2 linked regions of the Drosophila melanogaster genome follow. The protein of the gene in region 2 interacts with the protein of the main gene of each other region in a pairwise test. Each region holds a gene or a part of one and is shown on either strand. Other genes may lie near its edges.

Region 1 (3,529 bases), on a different chromosome or scaffold from region 2:
TCTTTCAATTAATTGTGGCAACCACTAAAGGCTATACCTTGCTAATTGGGATTATCCATTATCGGGCAATCGGCATTTGAATAATTAAAATGTCAAATCTAACTAGTTTGCCAATTGCCGGACTTTAAATTGGGTGCAGGGGCTGTTCGCAAAAGAAAACAATTTTTGGCTTTTTCAAATGCAAATTTCATTGCTCATACGACATGTGTTCCGTACGTTGCCGTACGTGATGCGTATGCCAGTGAGTGTGTGAGTTTCGGGCTCGATTTAAATTGATTTTTATTGTTGGAAGAAGATCCCTGACCAGTGTGGCATATTTATTTTTTCGATCGCTTGCAGCAATCGCTTGCATTTTTCCCATAGCAGAATATATGGAAAAACAAGCTAAGGAATATCTCGGCCAGATGTCAAATAGTTATTCAAACGTGACAGGCTCACTTATTATTCTCACTCGGTGCTGGCGCAAGGGATGATTTTAATTGATTTGGAGACCGGCCTTCTATACACACATATAAACTTGGAAAAACTGTCAATGTTTATTTTCTTTTTCCAATTTTTTTTGCATATGATTCTAGCTTGCTAATCACATATTTTTCGAGTCGCGCAATGCATATGAAATCGGACACACCTACACCTACTTCTCTCACTTTCACATTGCTAAGCTATTGCCTTGGTTATGAAAAACTTTGCTTATGCATAAATTTTCTACCAGCAAGCGGGGAAAATTGAAATGCTTAAAAGCGCATGAAAATGTTGTTACAAGTTTGAAGTTTTTGCTGGGTCCCTTTTTATGCGGAGCACAAACTTTAAATGCACGTTACAGTATGTAGGTGTGTGTGTGTGTGTGTCTGTGAGTGCGGTAAAGAGAGGCTTGGCTATTTGTTAAGAGAATTTCTATAAAATGTTCAAAGCTTTTGTTATGGAAACTTTCCCTGCGTGCCGGCACCCAAAAACTGCAAAAAAGTATTCCCGCAGGCCACTACAGGTGAAAACTTTCGTTTACATCAACTTAAATATTGTGTATATGTGTGTTTGCGATCATAATTTGTATTACTTAAGCCCATCCAAAGCCGAGTAGAAAGCCGCCCAAGAAGGCCACACATAGACGACCGCTGGTTGCACACGCCTTCCTGGCTTTATCCCCAAGTTCCTGAACGCGGTTAAGATTCACTGGCTCCAGGGATATTTCTCTGACCTCTAGCTGCCCCCGGGACTGATCCTGTTCCAGCTGTGAGAATGTCTTGAGCACATCCAGCTGGACCAGTCCCGCCTGCCATGCCAGCTCGAGCGCCAGAATGGTACCGCCAGCGGCCACGGCCATAATCTTACTCGCCTTGAGGAGCACGAAGCCGGTGAGAAAACCACCGGCAGCTCCCATCCCGATCTGGCTGTACGGCGACCTCTGGCTAAGGCTATTCATGGCTAGGATTGGGTATTAGAGCAGGTGCCCGATGTGCTGCGCTGATTCGACATACGTACTGCTCTTCACCACTGGTAAGTCACTCATTTCAGCTGTTTTTGCGTCTTCCTTCTCTACCTGATGCTGTGCTTTTACATTCAATTTGGGTGAGCTATGGTGAAAGGTTGCTCACAGCATGCCACAACTGTCGCTTTGATTTGCGCCCTTCTATGCGCTTCTCACACTCCCCAGCTGCGCTCAACTGGGCAAATGTCCGCCAGACCGTGAACGTCTAAGCCGACAAAAACATCAAAGTTCGAATGCGCCCATGAAAGATTGGGGTGGCATTACGTAAACGACGACCCTTACATTAAATGGCCTTAAATTTGGTGTAAAAGCACATTTTAAAAGTTTTTAATTAGTCATAAACTCTGGCAAATCATTCCTGCACACAATCTCAACCCACACATATTTACATTAAACTTTTCATGGTTACTCAGTAATGCGATAGTCACTTTTCACTAATTTATGATGGATTTAAGCAGGCGGAACAGTTTTAAATAATTTTTAAATATATTGCTTTTATCTCAGTACAAGAATTGAATAGCTACTTCATAACGTAAACTTTAAAATCGCTGTTAAATACTTATTTTTCAGTGATTCATTGCCTTGTCAGCTACCAGCTATTCAGCTGAAGGTATAGTTGGCTGAGTTCGAGTTTACAGTTCAATTGCCTGGGACCCCCGAAACGGCAACGGGCTTTAACGATTGAATGCGTTTTGGGGCTTAGTCTCACCAGTGCTCTTATTTAATTTATCGTTCAATTATGCGCCCAGCCACGCCCAATCCAAATAGCTGAGGCCCCAGGAGCTGTCGAGGTGTTTTTCGTTTATCGCTAGCCGAGAATCAAATTAACAATGAGCACGCAAATTGCCACAAATGACTGCGGAACTGGACTCGAGCGGAAAAGGGAATTCAACTATTTTCCGAGCGATTATCTAGGAGGAGTAATGCAGTCTTTAAGTGCTTTTGTGCAAACAATATCTCAGTCGGACAACGGCAGTAAACACCCTTGGGTGATTCTCTGCAAGCAACTAAAGTGTTGGAACATTTAAATTGACATTAATAGGAAAAGTAAAATGTGAAATCGTCTTGCCCAGAGGAAACGGAAAATAAAAACCACACATGAAATATAAATGAAACAGAATGCAACTTGACCATAAAATGTGAGCTCAACTGAGCGAAAAAAGGGCCAACACAAGCGGAGTAACCGAGTAACAATTTCAACATCAATGCGAAACGTGTTGGCCATGTGGTGTATTCTCTTACGGCGGTGAAGTTGGCACAAGAAATCCTGCTATTCGAAACTTTCTCCCCTTACCTTATTTTTTTCTCCGCAAGTCCTGATTTTATGTCCATTGTTTAATACAGGTGTTTGTCTAAGTACGTGAGCTGGTTAGGAAATGCTTTCGTTCGACTTGTTCCATTTTAAAATATTTGAATATTGTCATATACGACGAAAATGAAATATTTACTTAAAAACTTTAACTTTTTGGTTTTGATGATGTGACTATTGTTTAATTTCTGTGTAAAGTCCTATAATTACACCCTTTAAATTGTATCGATTGATGAATAACGTACAAATCCTTATTGAAAAGATACCTTTTCCTTGCACTGTAAGCGTCTTCTCTTGAAAAGTTTACTGTGGTTTTCCACTGCTTTATATTCGGTTTGCTCGCCTTTAGACAAAGCGGAATCAAACATAAGATTGTTATTGTACTTTATTATAATCATATTGCATTATAGCAGAAACAGAATTCGGAGTTCTTGCAAAATATTCAAGCTATTGCAAACTTCTCTTTTGCGAATCAATGTCGTATGAAGTTTTTTATCATATCTGGGAGAAACACTGAATTTCGCTGCACTCAGCTAACGAATGCATCATTGCAAGATGCAAATAGCAGGCGCAACAATACGTATACGCAATGCATATTTACCCAATTTAGAAGCCAAGTGCAGTGTGCGCTCTTCCCAACCATATGGTTAATGCGATGTGGAATACTGGTCCCGACTGGACCCCAGAAACTTTGGGTGCTTGGTTCAGGCCCTCTCGCCCGTTGACATGCTGTA
Region 2 (5,069 bases):
TATATAAAAAATGCCTCCGCCATCCTATACTCACTTGGTTTTTTTTGATTTCATCACTCCACATTCCGCGCGTCCAGTCATCCACTCCCTGTTCACCCACATAAAAGCCAACCTTAAAGTTGGTGCACCGCCTGACGGCCATCGCCTGTTGTCGGGCCAATTCCACAGTATTGCACATGAACAACGCACGCTTTCCGCCGCTTTCGATGGGTCTGTGTAAACAAATCGGAATCCGATATAGGTATTACATATAATAATATATATATAAATGTAAGTATCGGATATAGGTAATACATATAATAATATATATATGTATATCCATTCGCTACTAACTTGTCAAAGTCCTGCGAGAAGCGCTTTAGGACCAGGATGGCCACGAACGTTTTCCCAGATCCTGTGGGCAGGTAGACAATGCCATTGCTCTTCGTTAGGTGGTCAACCAGGCGAAGTTGATAGCCGCGAGGCTGGAAAGGATTTTGTTAATTATTTTGCAATAAGCGAGAGCGCAAGCCAATTCATTTTACCTTGATTTCCACATCTTCCATATCTTCGCTCTTGGTTACAGAGTCTTCGGGATATTTTGATATTACAATTTGAAGTCAAATAATTTACGATTAAAGAACAAAGAAGCCGGTGACAGAGTGGCCAGCGGCTCTTATAAGATGCCTTGTGTCAAACGTATTAAGAATTGTGTTTCAAAACGGACTGGTCACACTACGCAGTGCGGTTCTTTGAACTTAAATTATTACCACAAACCGCAACATAAATAAATTTGTTTTGAAATGCTCGCTGCCAATAATATACCTTCCGGAAATAATAAACGTTTCCATTTTTATCGAAATCTGCAACAAAATAATAAGCATTTTCGGTAGTGTAAGTTCGTGAATTATTTATTATTTGAATTCTTAATCAATACCAATTGTTAAGAATATATCACATCACTTTTTGACCCATACTATCCTTAGATCATTTAGACCTTCGTTTGCAGCCCTCCTCCATACGAGTAAAGTTTCTTATTTCCTCATTTTTTTCCAAGACTTAAAATCTTGTCAAACTAATTAGAATTATACTAATTGAGTCTAATTAGAACTACACTGACGGAAATGAACGAAAATTCAATCGGGTAGTTTATATACATGGTGATTCTACTTTATTGATTATGCTCTTCACTTCTTATACATAACATTTTCTTATTGGCTTAAGGAGAATATGAAAAAGTATCGCTACGACTAAGACTACGCGACATCATCACGTCTGGCTCTTGTCATCACTTTTGACACCCTTTCCTCCGGACAGCAGGTCCTGGATTTCGATTATTGTCTTGCCCTTGGTCTCCGGCACGAAGAACAGAGAGTAGAAGAAGGCGATGACCGCGATCGCGGTAAAGATCCAAAAGGTCGGACCCGGCCCGATCGAGCTCTTGAGGATTGGGAAGAGCAGCGTGACCACGAAGGCCGACAGCCAGTTGCTGGTGCCGGCAATCGATCCTGCCACACTCTTCACATCCTCCGAGAAGAGTTCCGCCATCACCAGCCACGGCACCGGTCCGAATCCAATCGAGAAGAAGATTATGAAAATGCAGATACTGCTGATCGGCAACCAACCGAAATTGTCCATTGAAGCCGGATCGTTCTCCTTTAGCTGAAAGTACACGCCCATCAGTGCAGTGGACACGGCCATCAGAACGCCAGAGATAAGGAGCAGGATGCGACGGCCAGCCTTGTCGATAATGGCCACGGCAACCAGCGTGCTGGTCACTTGGGTGACTCCAATGATAAGCGTGGCATCGCTGCCACTTATGTCAGAGCCCGTATCCTCGAAAATGGAGGCGGAGTAGAAGAGAACGGCGTTGATTCCCGTCCACTGCTGGAAGACCTGCAGGAGCACAGCGATTCCAAGACCCTTCAGGACGATGGGTCGACGAAGGGAGGACAGAATGTTGACCTGCAATAAAAATAAGACCACGTATTATTTTCTAATCTTCACCAAAATCAATGTATTTATTAGGTATGATAAGTAGTATCTGCTACACTGATTACTAAATGGAATAATGGAAACAAATTACGTACCTGTGTTCATATGTAGTTTAACTACGAAATCGTTTAAGTTTAATGCAAACCCTATCTTGGTTCAAGTTATTGAAAATCTTAATGAATGAAAACAAAATATTATATACTATCTGAATTTACAACATTTCTTTTATCAGGGTAAGTATATGTATGTATCACTTCCGATTGTGTGATAATGGAAAGAGTAATAAATCTGTTAAAGCCCTGCGAACCCTTTATAAAGTTTCTTTATGCCTTCAATATCGATCGATTTTGATTGATTGATTGATTATTAGTGGAATGTTAACTAACCTGTGGCATATCAATCTGCTTCTGGGACTCCTCCAGGATCTCCTTGAGCTCGTCATCGATATCGGCATCCTTGCCGCGCAGCCACTGCAAGGCCTTGGCGGCATCATCGTTGCGTCCCTTCATGGCCAGGTAGACGGGTGACTCCGGCATGAAGAAGTGTATGATAGCAAAGATTACGGGCAGAATAGCGCACAGGATATTGATGGTGAGCAGGGGCAGGAAGGCGCCCACCAAATAGCCGTACAGCACGCCCGACACAATCAGCAGCTGGAAAAAGGATCCGATGGTGCCTCGTAGTGCTGTCGCCGTAATCTCTGTACAGTACATGGGAGCTGTTACGCAAAAGGCTCCGCCGCACATGCCAAGAATGAATCGTCCGAAGTAGAGCATGGTCACGTTTTTGGCGAACAGCATCAGCACCCAGCCCACCATGTACGGTGGAATTAGGGCTAACATAGTGGGTCTCCTGCCGATCCAATCGATGGCGAAACCAATGGGAATGCAGATCACAGTGGCGCCCAGGGTCAGCAGCGAGGATACCCAGCCGAACTGACTGGAGCTAATGGGAAAGCCGTATTCCGTGTTCACCGTTATCATATTCTCCACGGGCGAGGACCAACCAATGGAGGCGCCCATGCAGAGGGCACCAAAGCTGGCCGACAAGCCAGCAATATATTGTGGCAACACCGATCCCTTGGACATGGCGAGGGGTTTTTTTTTTAAATTGGTTTTTATAGGTGTTTCCTTGTCGATCGCCGGAAACGAACTGAATTCGCCACGCGACCGTTATTACGCTGGAAAAATCGCTTTTCATGCGATAACTAAAGCAGCGACGTCGACCGAGAAAGTCAAGCACCGCAAGTCAGAGCCGTAAATCAGTTGGCCATAGTTTCACCCACAAAACCAGGTGACAGATGATAGGTGGAGGCGGCGCAGCGTCATTGAGAGCGCCCAAAATCACTTGAGAGCCAAAGCAGCTAATTAAAAGCCCGACTCCAGCAACAACACATGTTCCAACATGTTGTAGCAATCAAGTGATTCCACAACAATTACCCGAATCTATGCCCTGCGGCGAAGTCCGCCCGCTAGCCCTTGGGATTGGGAGTGAGTTCGAAAGTATGTAAGTTGTGTGGAACGAAGTGGTCCCCCCGACCATAATAAATGCTTCATCATCTCTAACTCTGTGCGATTGGAAGCTAGAATATGTATGCGATTACATATATACCTTTTAAATTCCTCTGGGTAGTTATGTTTTAGATTTTATCGTAATTGTTGTTTCAATTGAGTTTTTTATTCTTTAAGCCAACTACTTGGTGTAAGACGCACTAAAAAGTTGTTAAACAAGACGGTGTGGAAAATAAAGCTATGAATGGGTTAGCTAAAAATCAAGTTATTAAACCATGATAACATGATAAATAAATCGAAACATTTTTATACGATAACAAACATAGTTGATACTGCATACTTATTTATTTTGATTTGCCTTTGCATATTGTCTTCATTTCCTATAAGGTGTGAAAGTAAAGACTGAACTTAATTTTAAGATAAATAAATATCTGCAACAGTTAGAAATTTAAATGAAAACAATTGTATTAGCAAAATCGATGATTTGCAGTAAGATAAGATCAAGATTAGCGAGTTATTTAATCACAAATTGTTAAGTATTTACTACTTGCATGCCTTAAAGGTTCTGGCAAGACTTTTACCAAATCTCATCCCCCATTTGAGGGTACCCTATCTTCGGCTTGATTAAGTCAAACCTTTTCCGGTATTTTGTTATTTACGGCACAATTGATTCGGCGCTGCCGTGTGAAAAGCAGATAATAGCGGAGACAGACTCAACAAAATAATTGAATGAGCGAAAATCGCGGGGAGTGCATCTAATCTTTGGCGTAACCAGCAACGCATCGCATCACGCCCAAAACACATGTAGGAAAATCCGCTATTGGATCGATCCAGATTGGACCCCAAACTGTGACAAAATCGCAGAATAGCTGAATACCTGTACGTACACTTAAGTCGCAACGGTCACCTGGCGGTCAAGCGGCACTATCGGTTATCAGCGAACTAGATGGAACCATTGATGGCCCACCGAACGGATTGGAGGACGGATCCTCTGATAGGCGGGCAGTGCAGAGCGGGCTTGGCTGTAGATAAGCGATTACTGGGTGATAATGATAATAATTCGACTATAGAACACTCGTATAGCGATTTCAAGTTGCCCCCAGTCCTTGTGGATTCCACTTGCAACCATGTCAATGGTCATGTAATGGCCTTATCAAGCCACCCCACACACTGAGTGCTCTCTTGGCCTGAAATCGAGCTGTTTTCGCCAGATAATGGACTCCAAAATGCATTTCAAGTGGAGCCCTGGAGCCACATCATAGTTATTTCCTGATGATTAACCGAGTGTTGTTCGGTTAAATACAATATGTTTTTATTACGTCGTTACAGATCAGTTAGTCACATCCATCCGGAGCATCGGTTGTTTGCTTGCCCCCGATTATATAACGTGGGATTAGCCGGATGATTGTTGATAACGAAATATCTACTTCTTCTGCTTGCCCTCCGCCTCCTCCATAGCACGCATCATTTTGGCGTCGTGCTGGGCGTGGTGTTCACGGATTGCCCGCTGCAGCTCCTCGTGGTGGCTTTTGCTTTCCGGCGGATAAAGTTCCCGCTTCTTCTTGGTCACCCATTCTTCAAAGT

What was found. The genes of interacting proteins can lie anywhere in the genome.
Region 1: the proteins of CG6484 (region 2) and CG12511 interact in a two-hybrid assay, tested with the Drosophila melanogaster proteins (one large-scale study listed by BioGRID).

The regions. Positions count from the first base shown.
Region 1 is NT_033779.5:5,676,676-5,680,204, reverse strand, and holds CG12511 (uncharacterized protein), read right to left. Parts: upstream 1,624-3,529; 5' UTR 1,508-1,623; coding exon 1,480-1,507; exon of another isoform or gene 1,423-1,479; coding exon 1,055-1,422; 3' UTR 982-1,054; downstream 1-981.
Region 2 is NT_033778.4:17,580,882-17,585,950, forward strand, and holds CG6484 (uncharacterized protein), read right to left. Parts: upstream 3,132-5,069; 5' UTR 3,063-3,131; coding exon 2,361-3,062; intron 1,945-2,360; coding exon 1,249-1,944; 3' UTR 1,126-1,248; downstream 1-1,125. Other genes in the region: Dcr-2 (Dicer-2), read right to left, coding at 35-212, 334-464, 525-545; CG14483 (uncharacterized protein), read right to left, coding at 4,909-5,069.